Linked DNA regions of Coturnix japonica. The protein of the gene in region 2 binds, or shares a complex with, the protein of the main gene of each other region. Links are inferred from orthologs where the notes say so. Each region holds a gene or a part of one and is shown on either strand. Other genes may lie near its edges.

Evidence for each region. Proteins that work in one complex are often made in the same cells at the same time.
Region 1: the proteins of DKK1 (region 2) and KREMEN1 are in contact, whole or in part, in a crystal structure (PDB 5FWW), measured with the Homo sapiens proteins. The link is inferred for Coturnix japonica from reciprocal best matches to the Homo sapiens genes DKK1 and KREMEN1. Residues at the interface, in NP_036374.1 of Homo sapiens: Cys189, Leu190, Arg191, Ser192, Ser193, Cys201, Arg203, Trp206, Ser207, Lys208, Lys222, His223, Arg224, Arg225, Lys226, Gly227, His229, Gly230, Leu231, His261; in XP_011528731.1 of Homo sapiens: Pro67, Asn88, Asp90, Asp92, Ser94, Trp96, Gly105, Val106, Tyr107, Trp108, Tyr110, Asp127, His128, Gly129, Pro132, Thr140, Asn142, Glu164, Ser165, Tyr167, Ala168, Phe170, Asn189, Val191, Phe193, His196, Asp203, Gly204.

What each region holds. Positions count from the first base shown.
Region 1 is NC_029530.1:6,892,130-6,897,262, reverse strand, and holds the start of KREMEN1 (kremen protein 1), read left to right. Parts: upstream 1-2,098; 5' UTR 2,099-2,223; coding exon 2,224-2,302; intron 2,303-5,133. UniProt on the Homo sapiens protein: Receptor for Dickkopf proteins. Cooperates with DKK1/2 to inhibit Wnt/beta-catenin signaling by promoting the endocytosis of Wnt receptors LRP5 and LRP6.
Region 2 is NC_029521.1:5,371,679-5,375,891, reverse strand, and holds DKK1 (dickkopf-related protein 1), read left to right. Parts: upstream 1-1,693; 5' UTR 1,694-1,773; coding exon 1,774-1,950; intron 1,951-2,029; coding exon 2,030-2,186; intron 2,187-2,400; coding exon 2,401-2,511; intron 2,512-2,582; coding exon 2,583-2,833; 3' UTR 2,834-3,287; downstream 3,288-4,213. UniProt on the Homo sapiens protein: Antagonizes canonical Wnt signaling by inhibiting LRP5/6 interaction with Wnt and by forming a ternary complex with the transmembrane protein KREMEN that promotes internalization of LRP5/6.

The sequences.
Region 1 (5,133 bases), on a different chromosome or scaffold from region 2:
GCATTGTGCAATTTTCTGCTTGTGGTTTGTGGCTGCTGTTCGCAAATAACACCAATGGCAATAACAACAGTAGCTAATAAGTAATGAATCATTTCATACTACTTAATACATGGCCTGAGAGGCTCCTTTCAACTTGTGCTGTTCCCAAATCTGTACATTTTGTCCTTGCCTGTTGACACAGCCACAATTTCCCAGCAGTTTATGAATGAAAGACCCTAGAAAAGTAGAGTCAAAGAGCTGCAAGAGTTAGTAATTCCTCCACTATCAACAGGGGTTTCACGATGCACAACTGGCTTCCCAAACCCTTTGGGATATAGGCTGGACGCACAATAAATTAGCAAAAATGCCCCTTTGAGTATGTATTAGATGACATGGCATATACGAATCCAGTGTGTAAGTATCTTCATTTTTCCCCTGCTTTTTATATACCTCACAACAGCCAAAAGAGATTTCAGCACGTTTTTTACTGTATGGTTATGTACAATGGGAGCTTTCTGTATACAAAGAATTAGGTGTATCATAGTGTGTATTGATGTAACAGAGAAAGCACAGAAACTGTGTTTCGTGGCTGATACATTCAGAGTAGTAAAATGGGTCTCTCCTTTGTAGGTGTTTGAAGGTATCATTACATAGCAGAAGTATGAAGAAGCTGTAAGGGCAAGATGCAATGACAGGGGCTTCAAACTAAAAGAAGGGAGATTGAGGTTGGATGAGAGGAAGCAATTCTTCACTCAGAGGGCAGTGAGACCCTGGCAGTGCTGCCCTGAGCTGTGGGTGCCCCATCCCTGGAGGTGCCTGAGGCCATGGATGGGCCCTGGGCAGCCTGAGCTGGGGGCAGCCAGCACATGGCAGGGGTGGGGCTGGGGGGGTCTCTGTGATCCCCTCCAACCTCGGCCATTCTGTCATTCTCTGATTTGTGTTAGACAAAACAAGTCTAACTTTTCCCTCATCGCTTTCTGTTTGTTTGCTTGGTTCTTTTTTTGCTGTTGGTGTTTGCTTTCTGTTATTTACTTTATAGCTAAGAAATGCTGGCTCTGCTAAAATGCCTCACGACTCAGCGAAGAAACCTTTGCAGAAGTCTAGACTATGGCCTCATTATGTATACCCTTAAGAAATAGCTTTCCTGCCCACATGGAGGTAGAAAAGGAAGAAAAGGAAAGCCACCTGCACTTGTATTCACCATTTTTCAAATAGAGACAGTGAACTCATCCCCTCAGTTCTGTGCTCTGTCAGTAGCTGTGTATTTGCCTCTGTGTATGCTACGTTAACATAGACTCACTGAATGGCTGGAGTTGGAAGGGACCCCTGCAGGCCGTCTGGTCCCACTGTCTGCAGTTCCATCAGTGCTCACAGCTCCGTCTCTTGACCTATCTCCCCCGTTCTATTTAGAGACCATTTCCCCTTGTCCTATCACACAGAACCTGCTGAAGGCTCTGTCCCTTCATTCTTACAGCCCCTTAGACACTGACTCTCTCAGCCTCTCCTCGGAGGGGAGGTGTTCCATCCCTTGCTTCAGTTTTGTGGCCCTCCTCTGCATGTGTCTATGCACTGGAGAAGTCCGTGTGCTCGTCTCTGTGTCTACGTCCGTACTTATGTGTTTGAAGCTGAGTACTTGTGTATGCCTCCGGCTGAGTCCCTGCATCTCCCCGCACACCCTCCGGCCCGCGAAGGGCTGTATAGAGCCATAGCGCAAAGATTACAGCGGTCTTCTCCCCGCCCTCCCCTAAGGGAAGAAAAGATGCTCCGCATCTGCGCGCTCCGTTCTGCTGGCAGGCAGCCCCCGGGACCGCCAGGCTGGCACGGCCTCGGGGCTGCGGGGCTCCGCGGGGAAGGCAGAGGGACACGGGGGGGATGCCGAGAGCTCGGCGCTGCCTGCGGGGCTCTTTGGTTCCGTGACTGATCCGTGCGGGGTTCGCCCCGAGGAGCGCTCCGCGGAGCCCCGTCTGCGGGCGGCACGACCCGAACCCGTCGGTGTCAAACGTAAAAGCGGTTCCTCTCCGCGGTTCGGCGCCGCAGCGGGGAGCAGCAGGTTGGGATGTTGGTTTCTATCCTTTCCTGTCACATGGCTGGTAATAGGATCCCTCATCTGCCACTCGGCACCTCGCTGGGGCGCACTTACAGGACACATGCTGTAGGGCCTCCGCTTTCCGCACATCGCGCTGCTCCCGGCCGCCCGCGACCACCTCCGCTCCGGAACGCGGTGCGGCCCGGCGGCCCCGGCCCATGGAGCCGCCCCCTCTCGCCGCCGTCGTGGCCATATCGGGACTGGCGCTGAGCTGCTGCCGAGAGCCCGGTCTGTCCGGTGAGTGAGTGAGTGAGTGACACCCGGCGGGGACGCGGGGGGAGCCGGGCTGAGCGGACGGAGCCGCTCGCGGATCTTCTGGAGGGGATTGAGAGGCGACAGAGCCGCAGTTTGTACCCGAGCTCAGCGGACCCGAGGCTGGCACCGAGCTCTGCCGCCCGGCAGCACCGAGCTCTGCTGCGATCAGCCAGCCCGGGGCAGCGCGCTGGAGCTCGATGATCTTTATGGTCCCCTCCAGCCGAAGTCGTTCTGTGATTCTGTGGTCGGGTTCGCGATAACATCCCTTCCTTATCGCCAGCTCCGTGCGCGGTGCCAGGTCCGGAGCGGCTGATCAGGACGGTCCGAGATACACGGTCCTTCTGGATGTGCTCAATAGCTGAATCTTCCTTATTCTGCTCGATACAGGATTTGCACTGCTTCCTCCAGCTATGAATAGACGCTTATCTTCACATTATGTAGATACACCTAGAATCATAGAATGGTTGGAATTGGAAGGGACCCCCAAAGACCATCTGTTCCCACTGCCTGCAGTGCTCAGGGACACCCACAGCTCCATCAGTGCTCACAGCCCCGTCCCCTGACCGTGACTGTCTGCAGGGATAGGGAACCACCACCTCTCTGGGCACCCTGTGCCTCACTGCCCTCAGTGTGAACAACTTATTTATACCCAACCTAAACTTCCCCTCTTTTAGTTTGAAACCATTTCCCCACATCCTATCAATCCTACCATGTCTGATTATCAGACCCAGTACCATCAGGCTGTGTTTGATGCACTCTTGGTCATCTTTTCTTTATTGAAGAGTGTAATCTTTTTTCCAAACACAACTGTAGACGGAACACGCTGTGTAAGCAGCCAAGTTTCACAGCAGCTGCATGTGAGCATGTGGAGGATATATCCCTATAGGAGTGTTTGGTTCCTAGGCAGTGTAGAGACCTCTGTGCACATCCATGCTCTGACTGCATACACCCACAGCCACAATAACCCAATATTACAGTGAGTAAATATGTAGCAAAGATGATGGATCTAGGAAGCACAGCCACCTACCTTCCAGTCTGTATTAATTCAGTCACTGAGATCTGCAGTACTCAAAGCTCAGTCATACCATATTTCTCAGGAATTGAGGGGGGGAGTGGTGAATAGGTTCCCTATTGAAAGAATACATTGCCTAATTAAAGGGTTTTCTGAATTTGGTGCTTTTTGTGTTACAAAGAAACTGAGAAGTCTCTGAAATGTCACTTTCATTGAAGAAATGTTTTATATACGCAGTGCAATAGGCTGTCTTTTCTAGTTTCTATACTTATAGCCTTTTAATTTCCCACTCAGAAGTGTGTTTGATTTCCCCGCTTCCTTTCTCTGTTATCTTTCTGTTCAGCAGTAGTGGATCTCTATGCCTGTGGTTTCCTTCCTTATCGCTGTTGTTTCACCCATCTCTTTGTGTAAAGCAGCTCTGCTTTGTGTTCCTTCAGCAGCCATCATGCAAATCATCCAGCAAGCAGTTCTAAGCAGGCCGAGATAGTCACCCTAGGCACTTTGGGAGATCGTGCTCATACATGCACAGAGCCTAACTCAAAATCCGGAGTTATGAATGGATTTTGGTAGGGTGGAGCCAACGGAGTGGGAAGGAGGCTGGGATTACACGCTGCCAGCTGCTCATTTTGTCATATCACACCACAGCGGTTGTGCAATTGAGCACTCCCTCCATCTGCACAGTGGCTGAGGCCCACGCTGGTAAAATTTCCGGAGGGATTCGGTCTGCCACACTTGACAGTGGAACAACAGATTTAAAAGTTCACAAAGAAAACAAATGGGTGTATTAAGGAGCAGAAATTCCTCTGGGGCTACATCATGCATTCTTAGTTCCAGTGATAAAGAATCCCAGGACAAGTGTGGTGGTGGAACTGTACCTCTGTCTGCTCCCAGGCTGTGCCAATGGATGCTGAGGATGAGGTTTGACTCAGTGTCATTGGGGCCGCTCTATGTTCCGGACCAACATGAAATGTGACTGTTCTGGAGCAGCTGAGGACCTGTAAAGATGATGTGTGTGTGCCTGTGTGGGATGAGGGATTTTTAAGCTACATACAGAATGTGTCTATACTGCATAGGGGAAACCTTCTGCTCCAGTGCCCTCATGGCATCACAGCAGCCTTTCACTGGCCTTATCCTCCCCAAAATCATTTATTTTCCATCATAACATATTACGGAATAAGGTTTTTTTCCTGACCAATCCTATGAAAATACGCAAATGAACATTTGGTTCAATCAATAAAACTGCATCTTCAAAGAAAACCATTGCGCTACTAAAAATATTTTTAATAATGACCACAGAAGCCATATTTGTCTCTTTGATCTCCTGGAGCTTCTTCTGGTTTTAATCAGCATTCCCACATGCAGAATTGTGGCAGCCTATGATAATAGAATCTCTATTCGCTTATCCATAGGGAAACAAAAACGCTCTCATCTGAGGAAGGTAATTGGGTGCTGTGCCCCTTCCATCCGTGGGCCTCCGTCGCTGCTGGGGTGTCTTGGCATCAGTTAAGTGGTTTCTGTCCTTTCCTCTGTGCCTTACTCTCTCATTGAAGTGTTTCTGCTGTCTAATTATACCCTTTCAATCAAATTAGAGACTGCAGCATCTGGTTAGTGCCTGTAACTGTTGCCATCTGCACCTAGATACAGGGCTTGCGTTTAAGGAGGAGTGCTGCGATTACAGGCTGCAGCAAAGGCAAGGAGAGTAGTTTTGGTAGAATGGAAATCACCTGAAGCTCTTCTTAAAGCACTATTAAAATGTGTGCACCAAGCAGCTGAGACACAGTCCTTATTGGACTCAGCCCAC
Region 2 (4,213 bases):
GCAGCCCACCACGGAGCTGCCCAGAGCCTCCTCACTTCTCCCACCAGCCCAGCAGGTGCTGTGCTGAGACAAGGGCAGATCCCAGACGTTAGCAGCCAAAGGGAAGTGTCGTTTGGAGTTTGTCTCATCCTGAGTCCGATCCATGCTGTTCTGACACTGGTCCTTTATTTTTACGTTCTATATTTCTCTGTTTTTTCTTATTACAATGGATTCTACATGCAAGAGTTTTTTGTTTGTCAGAAAAGAAACACGTCTGTCATCCAATGGTCGTCAACCAGTTGCACTCTTTTGATGTAGATTTAAGAACTTCTTTTTCATAAACTTAACCGCTTTTGTTTTGCTCTGTATTTTCCCTGCAGCTGTAATTGCTGAGTGCCTGTTGTATACTTTATAGAGTTGAAATAAAAATAATTACTTTTGAGCAGCGTGTTGACATCTGTCTTCAGCAGGAGTCGGCTTGGGGGTGGTTCTGCTGTTCGGCTGGGTTATTTTACCCCTGCTTTGTGGTGATCTGAAGTAGGAGACAGTGAGCCAAGCACAGTGTTGTGTGACACTGCAGAGAGATGCGGTTGCTGTGATCAATAGGCAGTGGACATGAACATCCCAATGGGTGGGTGGGGGTCCTGCATGACACATCATGGGCATCTCCAGCCCACGTTACTCCGTGACCACACAGAGCAGTAAGCATCCTTACAGCACATTTGCTCTTCAGGGGTGAGCGGTACACCTGGTGCTTTCCACGCTGCTACTAGGAGCAGGTGCAGGGCATGTAGGGCACAGAGACCTGATGCCAGTTGTGATCAATACCTACCCCAGAGCTGCTCGCAGGTGGGGCTGTCCCTGTCCCTGCTGTCACAGAGGATGAGTGCTGGGAGAGAAGGCAAAAAGCTGACACTGCCAGGGGACAGGGCTGGTCCCTCCTGGGCAGAATGCACTGGGGCCACATGGCTTAAGTGTGGCAATGGGGCACAATGGCTGTCAGCAGCCGCACCGGACACCAGCTTGTGGCCCAGTGGGAAGGAACGATGCCAGAGCTCAGCAGCGACGTGATGGGGATGAGCCTGATCCCCGCCGGTACCTGCTCAGGCGGTACCACCATAAGCCATAAGCATCACTGTCAATTTGAGCCGGGGCTGCCCATTCTCCCGGAACGGGGCGGCCCATTCTCCCATTAAAAAAATTAAATACAATAAAAAGAAGTGAGGAGCGCGACGCTACGGGCGCGTGTGGCCAACGGAGCTCTCCTCGCTGCAGTACCATGTCGTGGCCGCCAGGGGGCGCAACGGCGCAACGGCGCCGTCGGGGGGCCCCGAGGGCGAGGGGCGGGGGGAGCCGCCCCCCTTTGATCTCCGCGCATCAAAGGCACAGCCCGGCCCGGCCCCGCTCCCCCCGCCGCGGCGCAGCCCCCCCGGCCGAGGTCAGCCGAGTGCACGGGGGGGCTCCGACGGGGCGGGCTCTCATCCAGCCCCCCCAAACTCCGCGGGGCCGGGGGTGCGGAGCGGCCCCTTCCTGCGGGTCTGCGCTGGCGCCAGGAAGGGAGCGCGGCGGAGCTACCGCCGCCGTTGCGAAATCCCCTCCCTCGGGGGGGGGGGAACAGCGGCACAGCCCCCCGGGGCCCTTTGAAATCCCATCCCTCCTCCCCGAAGGGCGGGCGCAGGAGGCAGCCCCCCGGGTATAAAGAGGCAGCGGCGGGCAGGTAGCGCTGCTCGGGGGCACGGAGCGCGGCGCTGAAGTACGGACGGGACGGGGCGGACGGGTCGGGACGGACGGGCGATGCGGGCTCTGCTGGCGCTGCTGGCGGCCCTGAGCTGCGCGGGGCGGGCGGGGGCCGGCGGCGGCCTCAGCTCTAACGCCATCAAGGTGGGGGCGGCCGCCAGCGCCGCCCCCGCCGCCGCCGCCCCCGCGCCCTTCGACGGCAGCAACAAGGCGCCGCCGGCCGCCACCCGGCAGGTAGGAGCGGGGCGGCCCGGGGTCTGCCGGGGGTTACCGGGCGGTGGGAAGCGGCGCTGACTCCTCTGCCCGCCCGCAGCCTTTCCCTTGCTCAGAGGACGAGGACTGCGGCCCCGACGAATTCTGCGGTGGGGCGGCCCGCGGCAGTGGCCCCCCGCTCTGCCTCGCGTGCCGGAGACGCCGCAAGCGCTGCCTACGCGACGCCATGTGCTGCCCGGGCACGGCCTGCAGCAACGGTGAGGGGCGGCCGGGCCGGGGTGGGGGGGCGAGCGTGGCGGGGATGGGATGGGATGGGATGGGATGGGATGGGATGGGATGGGATGGGATGGGATGGGATGGGATGGNGGATGGGATGGGATGGGATGGGATGGGATGGGATGGGATGGGATGGGGGGTGGGAAGTGGACACGGGGGGGCTGACGGCGCCGCCTCCCCCTCCCCGCCCCGCAGGGCTCTGCACGCCCCCCGAACCCCCGCCCGGCGCTCCCGAGCTGGACGAGCCCGGCCCCGAGGCGCTGCCCCGACGGACGCCCGCTCCCGCCTGGCCGCCCGACGCCAAAGGTAAGCACGGCCCCGGGGAGCGGCGCGGCCGCGGGCGCCGTCGGAGCTCGGCACTGACCTCCCGCCCGCAGGTGAGGAGGGCGACTTCTGCCTGCGCTCGTCGGACTGTGCGGCGGGGCTGTGCTGCGCCCGCCACTTCTGGTCCAAGATCTGCAAACCCGTCCTGCGCGAGGGGCAGGTGTGTACCCGGCACCGCCGGAAAGGAGCCCACGGCCTCGAGATCTTCCAGCGCTGCCCCTGCGCCGAGGGCATGGCGTGCCGCCCGCAGCGCGACCGCGGCGGTCCCGACGCCTCCCGCCTGCACACTTGCCAGCGGAACTGAGCGACGCCGGGGGGCGGACCGAGGATGGACGGACGGACGGACGGACGGACGGGGGGACGGACTCTAGCCCCGCTCGTGGGAGCTCCCCGCTGTGCGCGCAGCCGGAGCGGAAGGTTGTTTCTCGAGGGAACTACACTTAAGCGACTGATTGCAGTACGTTACTGTGTTGTGAATATGGAGGTGGCACTTAGTGTACAGACGTTCCGAGTGAGCCGCCCGGGCGCTCCTCCAGCCGGGACTGGGACGTGGTACGCGGTACGCGCTGGGTTTCCAGTTGCGCTCGATGGACGCGGCCGCCCCTTCAGGTGAAGGGCAGCCCACGCTGCGCGGTGCCACGCTCCGGGGCGATGCCCCGCGGAGGCGGCGGGGTCGCAGAGCGGGACCTCAGCGGCCCCGGCCCTGAGCCGTGCGGTCGGCGCCGCTCTGGGCACAATAAAGTCTATTTTTCGCTTCACGTGGCAGTACGTCGCTGAGTTCTTCCCTCTGGGGTGGCGTGGAGGGAGGGAAAGGTGCGGGTGGGAGGGTGGGAGCCCTCCCGGCCCCTTGCAGTGCCGTCTGCGGGGATGCTCCTGAGGCACAACCTCCCTTTTGGTGCTTTACCGCGACCTGACCTCCAGCACTAATGCCTGTGGCATTAACTCTCCTGCTTAGAGACCTCCGGGGCTGCCCAGACAGCTGACATACCGAGACAGGGACCGAGCCTGACAGAGCTCCCTGCAGTGTGCCCGTGCACCGAGGGTGGCTGCTGTCGGAGAGTGGCTGAGGTCGGCGCTGTGCTGCCCCAGCCCAGCACTGACCCAAGGCAGTGGGTTTGGTCTGGCTGTGCTCACGGTGCAGGGAATGGATTTTCCCGGTGCTGCAGCCTGAACTTGCTTGGAGCATCCCAGCAAATGAGGTCATGCTTCAAAGGCTTGAGCACGGCAGTTACGTTTTAAAAGCAGCTATTGTTTTACAGCATAAAAAGCACCGTTCCACAACACTGCAGTTGCAATTGTGCCCAACACCAGCCGCTCACACTGGGGTGATGCCAGCAGCTGGCTGTGTGCGGAGGCACGGCTGGTATTTAGATGCGCTCAGCCCTGGTGTTGGGGTGACATATTTCGTCCCTAACGACATACGAAACAGTATCATTGAGTTCAGCATCACAATGTATCAAGACTTTCCCACTCATTCAGATTTCTCATCCTCCCCCTGAGCACCGGCCTCGGGCCGCCCCTTCTGCTGCCGAGCAGAGGCTCCATGTCCCCCAGCAGGGGGGTATGGGGAGCTGAATACGCGCTAATCAGACTTGGAAAGGACGGGCTGCGGCTGTCCCCGTGCTTTGAATTTACTGCTGCCCGCACCCGGCTCAGCTCCTGCTGCTCGTTGACATCGGTGTCT